Stegostoma tigrinum: one gene and its partner. The protein of the gene in region 1 purifies or fractionates together with the protein of each later gene. This does not show direct contact. Links are inferred from orthologs where the notes say so. Each region holds a gene or a part of one and is shown on either strand. Other genes may lie near its edges. The genes, in order: aak1b and reps1.

Region 1 (3,921 bases):
CCCAGAGAGAGTGGTGGATATATGGAATGCTCTGCCCCAGAAGGCAGTGGAGGCCAACTCTCCGGATACTTTCAAGAAAGAGATGGATAGAGCTGTTAAAGATAGTGGAATCAAGGGTTATGGGGATAAGGCAGGAACAGGATACTGATTGTGGATGATCAGCCATGATTATAATGAATGGTGGTGCTGGCTCTAAGGGCCGAATGGCCTACTCCAGCACCTATTGTCTGTAAGGCACCCGTGCTTTTTTTTCATCTATTCATCACGAGTAAATCATTTCTCCCTGTTAACTTACATGCAAAGCCCATTTTGTTTTTAGTGATATCCAAAAGTGTCTTTGCTCTTTAACACCATTGTGCAGGTTGACTCCCCGAACCGGTTTTGTTTTGTTTTGTTTTAAACCAATTAACCACCCAATGTCAACTTTTCCCCCAATGACTTTACATCCAAAGCACAGATGCATATTTTTAACTTATTTTTTCATCATTTCAGAAGTACTCTTTAAAATGAAAGGGTTTGGTCGCCCTCGCTAAATCACCCGTGTAATTTTTATCATCGATGAACCACTCGTTGGGTTTTCCAACTGAGTAATTTACAGAGCAAAGCCGTATGTAGAGAGTTGAAGATAACAAAATGTGAGGCTGGATGAACACAGCAGGCCCAGTAGCATCTCAGGAGCACAAAAGCTGACGTTTCGGGCCTGGACCCTTCATCAGAGTTGAATGTGTATTTAGAATATCCAAGTTTTTTTTTCTACGGTGATAATTTTAACAATTCCCAAATCTGACCTGCTGCCCACTCGCTGAGGAGAAAACCGTCGAGCCCGGCAACTGACAACGGGCAACGAATGCCGGGAATTGGAGCCCCGCCCGAGGCCGGAAGTCATGCGTGGCCGCAAAGTGCTCTGGGAACTGTAGTACAGTCGCCAGCCTTTGGCTCATCCAACCTTGACTTTATAAACTACAATCTCCGTCAGGCCTCTTCATAACATTCCGCACCACCGTCAAATCCCACACGCATGCGTACAAACTCCTGAAAAATAAACAGTTAAAAGGATTCCGCCGATATTTTCTTACCTTCCCCCCCGCCCCCTTACAACGAACGAGATTTTGATTTGTTTCTTCTAACATTTAACGACGTCTTTTCCGTTCGGCCGGGACTCCGGGTCCGTTCCGAGGGGCGGGGGGAGGAGAAAGAAGGAGGAGATCGAACCAATCAGCTGCGCATCCGGGTCACGGCGCGTTGTGTCTCCCTTCTTTGGGTCCGGCTTTCATGTCGGCGTTAACGACAAGAAAAAAAAGGGAGCCGGTTGTTTTTTCTGGTCCGCCCCGTTATTCCCTCCCCGTCTCTTCACTTTACCACCCCCACCCCCTCCAGCCCAGTTACCGGGCCGGCTCGGCGGTGGAAGCAAGGCCCGGTTTTTAAACCCTCGGTCGCTCGATCGACTATCATTTTCGTTGCCGTTATTACCGTGACACCACGTACATTTAAAAAATATATATATCGAGATTGTTCTATTTTGCCCGGCCGCGCGGGTCGGTGGCGGGGCGGACACAGACAGAGACAGAGACAGAGACAGAGAGTGATCGCCGAGTGATGAAGAAATTCTTCGACTCCCGGCGGGAGGCGGCGGGCTCGGGTTCGGGAGGCGGCGGCGGCGGCGGTGGAGGTGGAGGAGGAGGAGGCGGCAGCAGCGGCGGGGGCGGCGGCTTATGCCCCGGCAGCGGCTTCATCGGCCGGGTGTTCAGTGTGGGCCGGCAGCAGGTCACTGTGGAGGAGGTGGTGGCTGAAGGTGAGGAGCGGCCATGGACCGTGGGGGATGGAGGCAGGGAGCCGTGGCGTTGACAAGTGTTGAGGGATGGCTCTGCCCCTTCAGCACCGGTGATCCAGCATCCCCAATGATACTAAGCCCGCCACCCCAATATTACTGATACTGAAAATCTGCGACTCTAGTTACAGGTCCAGCATTCCTAATGTTACTGATCCTGCCATTTCAGCATCAGTGATCCAGCATTCCCAGTGTTACTGATCCTGCCATTTCAGCATCAGTGATCCAGCATTTCCAGTGTTACTGATCCTGCCATTTCAGCATCAGTGATCCAGCATTTCCAGTGTTACTGATCCTGCCATTTCAGCATCAGTGATCCAGCATTCCCAGTGTTACTGATCCTGCCATTTCAGCATCAGTGATCCAGCATTTCCAGTGTTACTGATCCTGCCATTTCAGCATCAGTGATCCAGCATTCCCAGTGTTACTGATCCTGCCATTTCAGCATCAGTGATCCAGCATTTCCAGTGTTACTGATCCTGCCATTTCAGCATCAGTGATCCAGCATTCCTAATGTTACTGATCCTGCCATTTCAGCATCAGTGATCCAGCATTCCCAGTGTTACTGATCCTGCCATTTCAGCATCAGTGATCCAGCATTTCCAGTGTTACTGATCCTGCCATTTCAGCATCAGTGATCCAGCATTCCCAATGTTACTGATCCTGCCATTTCAGCATCAGTGATCCAGCATTCCCAGTGTTACTGATCCTGCCATTTCAGCATCAGTGATCCAGCATTCCCAGTGTTACTGATCCTGCCATTTCAGCATCAGTGATCCAGCATTCCCAATGCTACTGATCCTGCCATTTCAGCATCAGTGATCCAGCATTCCCAGTGTTACTGATCCTGCCATTTCAGCATCAGTGATCCAGCATTCCCAATGCTACTGATCCTGCCATTTCAGCATCAGTGATCCAGCATTCCCAGCCTTACTGATCCTGCCATTTCAAAATTACTGATCCTGCCATTCCACTGTTGCCGATTCAGCAATTTTGGCATCGATTATCCAGCGATCCCAATATTTCGGATCCTGCCATTTCAACATCCGGTATTCCCAGTGCTACTGATCCAGCAATTTCCAACATTATAGATCCTGCCATTTCAACACCCAGCATTCCTAGTGTTAGTGATCCTGCAGTCTGACTGTTGCTGACCCAGAACCCCAACATTGTGGATCCTGCCATTTCAACATCAGTGATCCAGCATTCCCACTGTTAATGATCCTGCAATCCCACATTTGCTGATCCAGCAAATTTAGCATCAACTATCCCTCAAGTTGAAACTAGTCATCCTACATTTATAACATTAATTATCTGATATTCACATTATTTCACATCCAGCTATCCTACTTTAATGATCCAGCAATATCAAGATTACAAATCAGCAGCAATATCAATATTTCTGACCTTGCAATCCCACTATTACAGATCCTGGAATTTCAACATTTTTGCTTTTTGAGATCCCACCATACCACAGTTACTGTTCCAGTAATCCTACCTACTATTACTGATTTTACAATCCCACTATAGCTGATCCAGCAATCACACTGTTGTTGATGCTGTAATCCTACGATTACTGATCCTGCAATCCCAATACTTCTAATCTTACGTTCTAAGTATTACTACTGATCCTGCATTTACATTAGTAGTGATCTAGCAATCCTACTTTTATATATGGGCTATAATTTCAACGTTATCAATACTGATTCAGCAGTTCCAAAATTAATCATGTGCCCGTCCCAATTCTGTGATTTCAGTATAATGTATCTTGCATTTTCAAGACTGATCCAGCACTCTCTATTATTGATCCTGCAATTTTAAATATTATGATCCAGCAGTTCTGATGTTACTGGTCTTGTAATTTCAACAAAACAGATCCTGCAATTTCATCAATACTGAAACAGAAATTTCAAAATTAATGATGTGCAAATCCCAATACTGCTATCTCAATATCACGTGTTCTGCATTCTCTATAATAATCAAACACTCCCAATATTACTGATTTTGCATTTTTAAGTGTGATGACCCAGCAATGCCAATTTCCTGCAATTCTATTATCACTGATCCTATATTTCCAAAATTGCTGATTGTAC
Region 2 (3,921 bases), on another chromosome or scaffold:
GAGGAACTCAGCACCTCAGTAGCACCTGAAGAGAGAGCAAAAACAAAACTAATGTTTCAAATCCTGTAATCCTTCTTCCGAACAACTTCTAATTCCCCTTTAGACAGAAAATGCATCAGTTCATTCTCCCACTTTAAACAGCGCATATCAACAGTCAGTTAACCTTACAGCACTATCAATGGAGCAAAGGTACAAATTCATGTTGTCTGCATTCAATGACAGGAACGATCAAGGGTCTTTCCAAAGTGACATTCCAGCCCCTAACTGCACACTGTACCAGAAAATTCACACTTCACATTTACTTCCACTCTAAAACCCTTCACAAACAAGCCCTCTCGTTCTGAATTTTTGAAGAAGGGTCTAGGCCCGAAACGTCAGCCTTCCTGCTCCTCTGATTCTGCTTGGCCTGCTGTGTTCATCCAGCTCCACACCTTGTTATCCCTCTCGTTCACAACACTTTTACAAGTGGGAACAATTTCTCATTTTCCACTGTCTCAACCCCTTATGATCTTGGGCAGAACAGCCTTCAGTGGCACACGCACTAGGACTTTGAAAATTTCCATCAAATGTCCCCTCATCTTCGGCCTCTCGACAGAAAATTTGCAAGTGAAGAGTTCATGCAGCCCGGGGTAGTAGAGGGTTGAGTATTGGGAAGAAGTGAGGGGGGGGAAAGTTGGCTTACACCCCCTTCTAGAATCAGGAGCAGTGTGGTCGGTACGAAGGAGGGAAATACAATTTCATGCTTCTACAGAACATTCCAATCTTGAAATGTGTCACTAGGCTCGAAACATTAAACCTGTTTCTCTCCACGCAGATATTGGCAGGTATGCCACATTTTTCCAGCAATTTATAAAATTCACCCCCCACCCACAAAATGGCGATCTTCCCGCCAGAAATAACGGCTACCCAGGGGGGCTGGGTATTGGAGGACGCGCGTCACGTGACGAACGGCTTTCTTCTGCTCGTGCAGTCCGTCCTATCGTCACGTGGCCAACAGATGCGATCCCCGGGTATCGCCCCGCCCACTCGCCCTTCGGGGCGGTGTAGGTCCCACCCTCCGTTCACGCTCTGAGACGGGACTCAACGGTATTGGCCGACAGTCGCCCGCGGTGTTTTCGTGAGTGATGTGGGTTGCAAGGTTTGGGGCGGCCGGTTCCTCTCGCGAGAACAGATCATCAGCCCACCCCCTCCCCCACAGAGTGATCTGATCGCGGGAGCTGGGTGGCTATCACACTGGCAAGACTTTAAGAGGTAATGGGGAAAAGGGGGCGGGGAAAGGGGCCGCAGCGAGCGCTCCTTCGGAGACTCCTTAAAGATGATTGTTGGGGGAGGGGGTGCTACTGATACATGAGATCACGTCCGTCCACGCTGCTTCGCCGCAGTTAGAGTTTTAGTCTTGGTGATCAGGGAAGGGCTAGAGAGGAACGGGCTCGGCCCCCGGGGTTTTGGGGGATGTGAGCGGGGGTGCCGGACCAACATGGCGATCCCGAGGGCGGCAGCGGGGCAACTACAACTCCCAGCCCGCACCGCGGCGCCCCCTCGCCTCCCCACTAGCGCGCAGCCGCAGATCTCCCGCAAGGGAAGGAAAGTGGCGCTTGCTGTAACCTAATCAGGGGCTGGGGGGGGGGGGAAGAAAGGCTATTGTTTTTGTGACTGCGGGCTGTTTTAATCAGGATACTGGGCAAATGCAACTGGGATGCAAATTCGCCGTGCTCCAAATAAACCGTGCAACAAGCCCGAGGTTCTTAGTGGCCTCTCGATGCTGTGCAGTTGTTTCATAGGCAACTTCTGTGTATTCAGGGCTGTGTTGAGGTTGCCCAATAATCAGGCTTGTATTTCGAGATTTGGTTTCTGTTTTCTACGTGTCCTTCGTCCTGTATCACGCTCAGTCCTCGCGGTCGGCGACTGCACCGCGTGTGTGAATTAAAGGGCGACAGGAGGTTGGGAATTCAACTGAAAGCTCCTGTAATAACAAACTGGTAATTTACAGTAAACCATTCTGTTTTCACAGCCAGTATTAGTTGTGTTTTACTTTTTATTGCACTATTCGTTTACAGTCCTGGGTTGATAAATTTGCTCATAGGTGATCCTGTTTGTATCCGCGGAATTCGAGGATGAGTTACAACGTCATGTGCTTTAGTCAGGGTTTTCGTGTAATGTTTTCCCGTTTTTAATCTCTAGTGATTCTATTTTATCTTGCCTGGTATGTGTACTGAGTTGGCTATCAGCCAGAGTAATGGTTGTTACTTGTACTCAAGAATTTGGAAATATCTGTACACTTAATTGCTATCCAGTTAATATCTCTCTTGGTGCTGGAACAAAATAGGATGGTATTGCATATTCTTATGATTACAGTATAAACGCTTAATCGTGACCTAGTACCAGATGATAATGTAACCATATCTAAGATTTGTTGGTTGGGGAAACATTAAGTTGGGGAAAGTTAGGGCAAGTGTTAGAACAAACATGTTTATGTTTGTACCCTTGCAGAAATTGTGATTTCTGTTTCAACAAAAGTCAATGTTTTCAGCCAAAAAAATGAGCAGTCAAAACTACACTCCTGTCCCATTGTCAGTTTCTGATAATGAGGGATGAACCTGTTGTTAATTACTGAAAACGGATTCATGTTCTCGGGGTTTGGCATACTCTTTTCTCCTTGGTCCAGACAAAAGCACTGGCAACTACTGTTGGTTTTCGTGTGCTTGGTTGCATCTTTTGAAAGTTCTTTGAATTTTAACTGGTATCAAGTGTCTAAATTTGATTAAAATAGAGTTGCAACAATTCAGGACAACAAAGTGTGGAGCTGGATGAACAGAGCAGGCCAAATGCTGACGTTTCGCACCTAGACCCTTCATTAGAAGGTCTGGGCCTGAAACGTCAGCTTTTGTGCTCCTAAGATGCTGCTTGGCCTGCTGTGTTCATCCAGCTTGTCTCGGATTCTCCAGCATCTGCAGTTCCCATTATCTCTGCAACAATTCAGTTCTGGCAGACTTTAAAGACAGAAGTAATTAATGCCTGGAGCCCATATGACCCTTTAGTTATATTTGAGTCATACTATCAGTTGCTTTCCTGAGAAACCAGAATTGCAATTGGGAATCATTGCAAATGATTTGAAGGTCTAAATTATGAGATATATTAGTGGCACGGTGGCACAGTGGTTGGCACTGCTGTCTCTCCGTGCCTGGGACGTGGGTTCAGTTCCACCCTTAGGTGACTGTACATGTGGAGTTGGCACATTCTCCCTATGTGTGGGTTTCCCCCAGATGCTCTGGTTCACCCCCCACCCCCCGCCCGTCCAAACATGTGCAGGCTAGGTGGATTGGCCGTGCTCAATTGCCCTGTATGTTCAGATGTTTAGATTAGTGGGTTATAGAGGAATGGGTTTGGGTGGGTGCTTTGAGGTTCAGTGTGGACTTGATGGGCGGAAGGGCCTGTTTCCACACTGTAGGGATTCTATAATAACAAAAAAAATCCAATAAACTAGTAGTATGAATTTTGATGACGTTTCAGAAAATTTTAATTCACAAACTACTTGAACTAAAATAGATAATTGCTTTTCTGTGCATTGTGCACCAAATTTTTGTGAACCATTCTGGTGTGCCCTTATCCAAGGAGAGAGATACTGTTATTGGCGGTAGTCCAGAGAAGGTTCACAAAATTAATCCCAAGAATGGAGGGATTTTCTTGGCGGCTTGGACTTCTACTCGTGAGTTTAGGAAGATAAGACAAAACATACAAGGGGCTTGATGAGGTAGGTGCAAAGAAACAAACGTGGAACACTGGGGAAAACCTCAACAGGTCAGTATCTTTGGTGAGAGAAACAATTAACATCTTGAGTCTTGTCTTTTATGACTACTCTTCACAATGGAGAGTTGTTTTCCCTTGAGTGTGTCTAGGACCAGAGGGTATAATCTAAGAATG

The links.
Region 2: the proteins of aak1b (region 1) and reps1 purify together in Homo sapiens (affinity purification with mass spectrometry; 3 studies listed by BioGRID and IntAct, counting the BioPlex papers as one, with this or other methods). This does not show direct contact. The link is inferred for Stegostoma tigrinum from reciprocal best matches to the Homo sapiens genes AAK1 and REPS1.

What each region holds. Positions count from the first base shown.
Region 1 is NC_081393.1:6,533,950-6,537,870, reverse strand, and holds the start of aak1b (AP2-associated protein kinase 1), read left to right. Parts: upstream 1-1,231; 5' UTR 1,232-1,596; coding exon 1,597-1,792; intron 1,793-3,921.
Region 2 is NC_081362.1:90,386,913-90,390,833, reverse strand, and holds the start of reps1 (ralBP1-associated Eps domain-containing protein 1), read left to right. Parts: upstream 1-1,014; 5' UTR 1,015-1,251; intron 1,252-1,565; exon of another isoform or gene 1,566-1,979; intron 1,980-3,921. UniProt on the Homo sapiens protein: May coordinate the cellular actions of activated EGF receptors and Ral-GTPases.